2 linked regions of the Caenorhabditis elegans genome follow. The protein of the gene in region 2 purifies or fractionates together with the protein of the main gene of each other region. This does not show direct contact. Each region holds a gene or a part of one and is shown on either strand. Other genes may lie near its edges.

Region 1 (3,743 bases), on a different chromosome or scaffold from region 2:
GACTATCTTGATCTCAGCAATTCTTTCTTCTCGGTTACAGGCTGTTCAACCATTCTCTCGTGAATCCGGGCACGGTAGCTGCAAGTGGAAATTATAATGACAGCTGGAAAGTTAGAGAAATGTAATATCTTACTTTTGTTTTCGAATCAAAGTTCCGCTTTCAAAAGCTTGTTGCAACATTTTTCGATTTTCTCTAAAATTCAAATACTGCTCAAAATCCTTGTCTTCTGAAATTTCAGATATTCGAGAGAATGAATAAATATTAAACAATACCTTCCCGGTAATAGTTTAAAATATCTTTCCTAGACTGATTCTTCTCATAAAGATCAGCTTTGTCCATCAAAATAGAAACCTTCGAGTGATGAATGTAAATGTTCTAAACACAATTATTTTGATTTATTCTCTAAATTGTATTTAATCCTATATATAGGGATATATCCTACCGGTCCCAATTCTAATTGACGTGCAATTGGAGACCACGAACGATAAGTGAATCCCCAGTAAAGATCATCGAGGAATTCTACAATCGATGGGAAGAAGAAAATTGCAAGAATAATCTTAATAGCTCCAGTTAGATTAGTTTTCGTTACCTTAGCTTACGTGCGAAATGTTAGACAGAGAAATTACGAATATTGGAATCACTGCAGCGATCATTCTTCAGAATGGAAAAATAATAATAATGAATTCTTAATTCCCTATTCTCATTTACACGTTGAACAAAGTGCTTGAATAAAAAAGAGCATGAAAGTAGAGCGAATTTATTTATCGCGGTGTGAAAAAAGAGATTACTCATGAATATCGAAGGGCCAAATAATCATCGTACAGGTAAAAAGTTGAAATGGTGATAGTTAAACAATACACGGAAGACGATAGGTGGTTAAAGCACGGGAGAATAAATAATAAAAATGATGATGAATGAATTACATCAAAAGAGTTCGAGTTCTCCTCGGTAATTTCCAGCTGGCAGCTTTGACGTATCCATGTTGTCAAAATAAGGATGAACGAGAGCTTTTTTCGCGTTGAGACGAAGTGATGGATCGTAGATCAGCAAACCCTGAAAATATTATTTTACTTGTTAAAGTACTATTTTAGAAATCTTACTTCAAGAAGAGAGAATGCAGTATCGTCCAAAAGGTGCTTTCCAGTCTTCTTGTCGTAGAACTTGTCACGGAGGAAATTCTCACGCCATTTTGGGAACGTCGCCTTGTAGTCCGGAAGTGATTCAACACCATTCCATTCCAACTCAGTCGGTGTGCCGAGAACTCTGAAGATGCGGAACAGCTCATCAATTTCTGAATCTCCTTGAAACAGTGGCTTCTTCGTGGCCATTTCAGCAAAAATGCATCCAATCGACCACATGTCTACGCCCATCGAGTATCTCTGAGCACCCATCAGAATTTCTGGAGCTCTATACCAGAGAGTGACAACCTGAAAACCGGACAATCATTGTATTGGTGTACAGAATGAATGCAAACTCACTTCATGCGTGTAAACGCGAATCGGGATACCAATAGCTCTGGCAAGTCCGAAATCGGCAAGCTTGATTGCTCCATTGTTGTCGACCAGCAAGTTCTGTGGCTTAAGATCGCGATGAATAACACGACGCTGATGACAAAAACACATAGCTTGAAGAATCTGGAACAATTATTCTTGTAAAGACATCGATTTTAAATATTTCCTCACTTGGAATGTGTAACTTTTAAGAGTTTCGAGCGGAAGGTATTCATCTTTTCCCAACTGATCCATGTATCGTTTCAAGTCGAAAGACAGGAATTCGAAGATCAGGAAAAGCCGGTTCTCCTGCATAATGACCGCTTCCAATCCAACAACATTCGGATGCTGGAGCTCTTTGAGCAAGCTGATCTCTCGCACAGCCGTTGATGGAACACCCTATAAGAATTATTGTTTGAAAAAACGAAACTGCTACAAAATTCAAATACCTCATCTTCACTTTCCAATCTGATTTTCTTCATAGCAACCATGGCATTGGTTCTTCTGTTTTTGCCTTTGTAGACGACTCCGTATGTTCCTTCGCCGATTTTTTCGAGCTTCGTGAAATCGTTGAGTGTGTAAACCGAATCTCCCTCGTGGGCCACTTCTCCTTCGCGAATAGGATCCATAACTAAAATTGGAAATGAATTTTGTCAGAACAATTGTAATACAACGATAGAAAAGGCGTAAGCGTGTAATTTTGAATCATTTCCACTGCCGCCGAAAAGGGGGGACAGTCGGTGCGAGACCATTGCTTAGTGAAAAGGCATGCACCTTTGATGACAATTTATTCCGAAAAGGAGAGTACGCGCTGAGAAGGATTGTTGTGAAACATTGCATTCATATGATAAAATTTAACGCAAAACTGTGCAGAAAAGAGAATAAATACAGGCCGGAAAATATAAAAATAACTACTCAAAATAATCATAAACTTGATTTGTTCTACTTTATGAGGCTTCCAACAAAACTAAACAGAGTTTCAAAGAAAAATCGTAATCTTGGCTTCGGAGGGTGGATGGCGAGAGTTGCTGCCCCGAAGACCATAGAGAGGTAATTTTTATTATTTAATTTTACATGATGAAAGCGAAATTTGGCAAGTAAGCAACGAATGCATTTTTAGGAAATTATTTATTCAGATAAATCAAAAAATAGAGCAGATTCCTTGAAATCCTAAAAAAGTGAGGACTTCGATTCTGTCTGAAGATGGAAGTTGGCGCCAAATTTTTGGCTGCGTAGCGACTCATTCTTCATTGTGATACGCAGCCAAACAACGTCCTTTCAAAAAAATTCGCGCATTTGATTTTCTCTCGATTTCTATACTTTTCTCAGGTTTGTACAGTGTTTTTCTTGCTAAGATCAATATTTTATTAGAAATGCATCAAATTTCTCAATCAAAACAATTTTTTCCTGCAAACCTTTTTTTCCAAATTTATTTTTTGAATTTCTCGTTGGAAACTAGTTGAAAATGCTAAAATAATTGATAAATCTTTGTTGCAGTATGTCCGAAGATCATCACGACGAGGAGCAATTCGACTCTGCCGAGTCCGGAGCTGCTGCTACTTTCCCGAAGCAATGCTCGGCTCTTCGCAAGAACGAGCACGTCATGATCCGAGGAAGACCATGCAAGGTAAAAAATAATTCAGTGAATTTTCCTAATTAGAAATTTTTTAGATCGTCGAGATGAGCACCTCCAAGACTGGAAAGCACGGACATGCTAAGGTTCACATGGTTGCCATCGATATTTTCACCACCAAGAAGCTTGAGGATATCTGCCCATCCACCCACAACATGGACGTCCCAGTCGTCAAGAGACGCGAGTACATTGTAAGTTGTTAATTAGTTTTTAAGAAGGCTTTCAAAAAAATCAACTTTGGACGGTTAAACAAATCTTTTGAAAAATGAGTTAATCAGCTGTAAAAAATGTTATTGATCAAATTTTCAGCTCATGTCGATCGAAGACGGGTTCTGCTCGCTCATGGATCCAGAATCTTGCGAGCTCAAAGACGATCTCAAAATGCCAGAAGGAGACTTGGGAAACACTATCCGTGAGGCTCTCGAGAAAGACGAAGGAAGCGTCTTGGTAATTATTTCGACATCCACCTTTTGAATCTGAAAATTTTGATTTTCAGGTTCAAGTCGTTGCTGCCTGCGGAGAGGAGGCTATTCTCGGATACAAGATTTCTACCAAGGAATAATTGCATTTATATACAATTTCATAATAAAAGCAGTTCCAGTTTAATCATCCCGCTTTT
Region 2 (4,317 bases):
TTCTTCTAAACGCAGCTCTTTCTTTTCTGATCTCTTTTCTCGGCCGTGGTTCTGAAAAAAACGGAAAATTATTATTTCTGGAATAAATTATGTGCAACCTTTACGAAAAATCGGCAGTCTGATTGATGAGGATTATTGCTGGCACAGTATGCGGCTATGAGAAGATATCTGAAATAAAAATTTACTGGAATTTCTGGAAGAACTACATATTTTCTGTTGAGTATTTTTAGATACCTCATGGCGAGCGGCATGGCATCAAAACTGTTCTCGTTCTCCTTGGCCAGATTCTCTCCGACAACATTCCCGAGCTTTTCTCCAGATGATCTATTGAGGCATTCTTTTGCCAGTGTAGAGTCGAATTTATCGCCGGTTCTCCGCTCATCATACATTAGCCACGCATCAGATATCTGGAATTGTAGTGATGGATTTAACATTGTTTTTAAAAAACTTACAATTGATAGAAGAATATTCGGTGACTTGCAGGCCATGAACAGTGACTGGCAAGCAACGTGAAGAAATTGCGCGTTGATTTTTGGATTTGCACGAGAAATAAGAACTTTGGTAGTTTCTACTGATGGTGCAGGTATGTGAAACTCTACAACTGGAAGATGGCTCAGATTAATGTGATATTGGTTCAAGCAGGATGGTGCACTCGTCACAAATCGAATCGTTATTTCTTGTATAGCTTTGTAAGAATCGAATAAGCATTGTAATGGAACAGGAGGATAGTCTGTTATCGCTTGTGCATTATCAAGAAAAATGACAATTTTTCTATTAGTTTCGTCTGGCCTGAAAATATTTAAAATTTAATTAACAAGAAAATACACTTACCATTGGACATATTTATACAGGTTATCGCAAAAATTCTCAGCTCTGTCACCTCTAGTCTTGAAACCTAAACTCGATGCCAGTGAATCGAATAACAATTTCAGCGATCCATCCGCATAGAGGAAGTCTCCAAGCACACAAACCTATAAAAATAGATTGTGAATTTTGAAATTGTTTGAAATTTTTAATTGTTTTGAAATTGAAGTTGTAAAACACGAACCCAATCGTTTTCAGGTTTTCTCAGAAGTTGACGAACAATTTCACTTCTTCCGCTTCCATCTTCTCCGAAAATGTGGACATGAGAAATAATTCGCGAGTTGTTAAATAAGAGCATTTTTAGACGTCTTATCTCACAATTTTCCATTTTGCTAAAAATAAAAAACTATGATATGGATAAAATGACTGATTTTTCAGCCTTGAAATAAAAACAAAAAAAACTTTCTTCCAGTAAAAACTGTTTTCAAGTTGGCGGGTATTCAATGGAGCAGGTTTACTTGGCTAAACTAAGCGCGATGCGAAATAACGGAGTGTCGTATTGCAGCGCGAACCTTGAAAATAAAATCATTTGCTCTTGAAACTTTGCGATTATTAAAGTTTTGATCGGATCTCCCTCAATTTTTCGGCGCCAAGAATTTATTTTTTGCAAAAACCTTCAATGGAACGATTATTTTCCAACGCAGGTTTCCCTATTTGAATCTTTGCCACATAGACCGGTTCATTTTATTCATTATTCGATTCTTGAACAAAAACAATCTTTTTTTCTTTGGCTTATCGTTATCAAATACCTAACTTTGGAGCTTTATTAATATTCTAGGTTCATTTGTAATTCATCTTTTAACGTCTGTTCTTCATTCATCCTAGGTGACATATTTAATCGATATTACCCTTCGCGATTCCCCCCTCCTACCACCAAGCACCATCTTGGTGTGGGGGAGTTGCGCTCCGTTGGACAATCGCTGCACGCGGAACATTCGAATCCCATTTGTCGATATTCTTGTATTTAGTGCAAACAATTCTTAATAGGCTCCTCACGTGACCTTAACATGTTCGCCGTGTAGAAACTATTTACACGTTGTGTTCTATTTAGATAAAATCATAACCTTTCTGTCAGATTTTGTAAAACGTCCAGTATTTCTCAACTTACCAATTTTCTACTAGCAATCAAAGGTTCTTTCTCACTTTTTATTTTATTATCTCTTGGAACTTGCAAACAATCGTTTATTGCAGCGAAAGGCCTCAATATGCTAAGAGCCACCAACAACAGACGAACATCGAATAATGTGGAAAAGGATAGCCTCCAGGTACAAGGTGTTTACAAACTAAAAACTATAATTATCATTCAGATGGCTAAGCACGGAAACGGACCATTGAAGCCCGTCAATGCGCAAGGTCTTCAGACGAAAAGAGAAGCTCGAGAGATTCTTGCACTCAAGCCATCCAATCCAGCTCCAGTCGAAACTGCGCAAAAGTCACAGAGAATCAACCTCCAGGATGCTGAGACTAAATGTCTTGCTATGGCCGACGACATATACAAGTATCTCGTTCATCACGAGAAAAAGTATCTTCTTGAGGAGTGCTTCATGGAGGGAGGAGAGCCCACTCCCAAGATGCGTCGCATTCTCGTCGATTGGCTTGTCCAAGTTCATGTTCGATTCCATCTCACACCTGAGACACTTCACTTGACTGTCTTCATTCTGGATCGCATGCTTCAGAAGAAGGTCACCTCCAAGGCGGATCTTCAGCTTCTTGGAATTTCAGCTATGTGAGAGTTTTTATTCAATTTTAAAACGTAACATATAGGGATTACTAATTGTGTATCCTTTAAAAATGTTTTGTTTCAGGTTCGTTGCCTCCAAGTTCGAAGAGGTTTACCTCCCAGACATCCACGACTACGAGTTCATCACTGAGAACACATACAGCAAGAAGCAGATCTTGGCAATGGAGCAAACAATCCTTAACTCGTTGAACTTTGACTTGTCCTGCCCATCTTCGCTTGTCTTCCTCCGCTGTCTCTCAAGAATTCTCTCCGAAAACGATGCCAGCCCAATCGATAATCAAGCTTTCTGTTATACTTACAATATCTCCAAGTGTCTCGGAGAGCTCGCACTGCTCGATTCGGTTATGGCCTCGACCCCAAGGTCCCACATTGCTTCTGCTTCGATGATCATCGCTCTTGAAGTTCATCCTGTTGACGGAATCGAGGCGGAGAATGCTGTATCGGTCATTTGGTACATTTTAAAGCTTATATTTTTATTTTAATATCAACATTTTTAGCAAACAGCTCGGAGCCTCTAAGAAAGTCATTGAGGATGCTGTCGCTTTGCTCGCCGAAGTCTCGTATAAGAACTTCAAACAGGGGAAGCTTGTCGCTATTAAGGTATTGAATCATCGAAGTATTCCAATAAACATAATTATTTGCAGAATAAGTATCAATCAAGCAAGCTTGCACAAGTTTCCAACTTGATGACCGACGACGTACTCGAGAAAATCAATCGGATGGGCCAGAATGCAAAAGTGGACGCATCAGAAATGGAATGAGCACTTCGATCCGAAATAAACATTTTGTACCATTCAGTCTTTCTTGATTCTTATGTTTCTTCCTTCATTGCTTTTCTTTTCGGCTCCTTTCCATTTTTTAACTCCTCCAGTCGTTTCCACGTCAATCTGGTCACACCCGTACATTGATTGTAAATTGGTGAACATTCGTTGAGCGACCATACACCACCTCCCATATTATTCAATTTGTCCATTTTGAAATTTAAAATTTCACTAAAAATTTTTATCACAACTTTTCGCGCCCTCTTTTGTATCGATCTCGTATTTAATTATTGAAACCACACTGCTGTAAGACTCACCGTCCTCATCTCTGTTGTTGTAACTAGAAGGACCAAAAACTTTCTGATGAAACCTATGTGCTATTAAATTTTGTTAAATGGAATTACTATAAATCATGTACTAAATAAGTGATGGAGTAGTCTGAAGGTTCTAGGGGGTCTCCTGCGCAATGACGCGACGAACTTAAACCAGTCAACAAGCATAAAAACAAGTAGGCTCCACCCACTTTAACCTTGAATTCTGTGTGCCGAACCCGGGGTCAAGTGGCTTTTCGGCCAATTACTCATCGGTTTGTTACAGCACTGGCGGTCACTTCTCGCCGAATTTTCTCAAAATGTGTAATAATGAAGCTGCAATTTCTCTGCGTATCAATCTCTAACGCTCTGCTGTAATGACTACAAAAGTGACCATCGAAAACGAGAATTTCATACATTCCACTCGAAATGGTTCATTCATCAGTTCTAATTGTTCTTTCACTGACTGCTTCTTCATCTGCATTCCTTCTAGAAGGACTCGGTTTAGGATTAGGTCCACAAAGACCTCAACAATGCTGCTGTCCACCACCTCCACCACCTCCACCATGCGGAGGCGGATATGAAGCTCCACCTCCACCACCACCACCATCATATGCGGGTGGACCATCATACGCTGGAC

What was found.
Region 1: the proteins of cyb-1 (region 2) and cdk-1 purify together in Caenorhabditis elegans (affinity purification with western blotting, with the first as the bait; 2 studies listed by BioGRID). This does not show direct contact.

Annotation. Positions count from the first base shown.
Region 1 is NC_003281.10:9,745,851-9,749,593, reverse strand, and holds cdk-1 (Cyclin-dependent kinase 1), read right to left. Parts: upstream 2,123-3,743; 5' UTR 2,121-2,122; coding exon 1,941-2,120; intron 1,891-1,940; coding exon 1,684-1,890; intron 1,636-1,683; coding exon 1,480-1,635; intron 1,429-1,479; coding exon 1,102-1,428; intron 1,055-1,101; coding exon 926-1,054; 3' UTR 742-925; downstream 1-741. Other genes in the region: T05G5.4 (uncharacterized protein), read right to left, coding at 3-78, 134-227, 274-376, 444-557, 601-654; iff-1 (Eukaryotic translation initiation factor 5A-1), read left to right, coding at 2,441-2,541, 2,989-3,118, 3,163-3,315, 3,434-3,571, 3,621-3,686. UniProt on the Caenorhabditis elegans protein: Plays a key role in the control of the eukaryotic cell cycle. Required for entry into S-phase and mitosis. Acts as a component of the kinase complex that phosphorylates the repetitive C-terminus of RNA polymerase II.
Region 2 is NC_003282.8:10,733,387-10,737,703, forward strand, and holds cyb-1 (G2/mitotic-specific cyclin-B1), read left to right. Parts: upstream 1-2,055; 5' UTR 2,056-2,069; coding exon 2,070-2,129; intron 2,130-2,171; coding exon 2,172-2,590; intron 2,591-2,669; coding exon 2,670-3,056; intron 3,057-3,102; coding exon 3,103-3,205; intron 3,206-3,249; coding exon 3,250-3,366; 3' UTR 3,367-3,787; downstream 3,788-4,317. Other genes in the region: orc-5 (Origin recognition complex subunit 5 C-terminal domain-containing protein), read right to left, coding at 1-51, 99-168, 235-407, 453-789, 832-971, 1,049-1,192; grl-21 (Ground-like domain-containing protein), read left to right, coding at 4,107-4,317. UniProt on the Caenorhabditis elegans protein: Essential for the control of the cell cycle at the G2/M (mitosis) transition.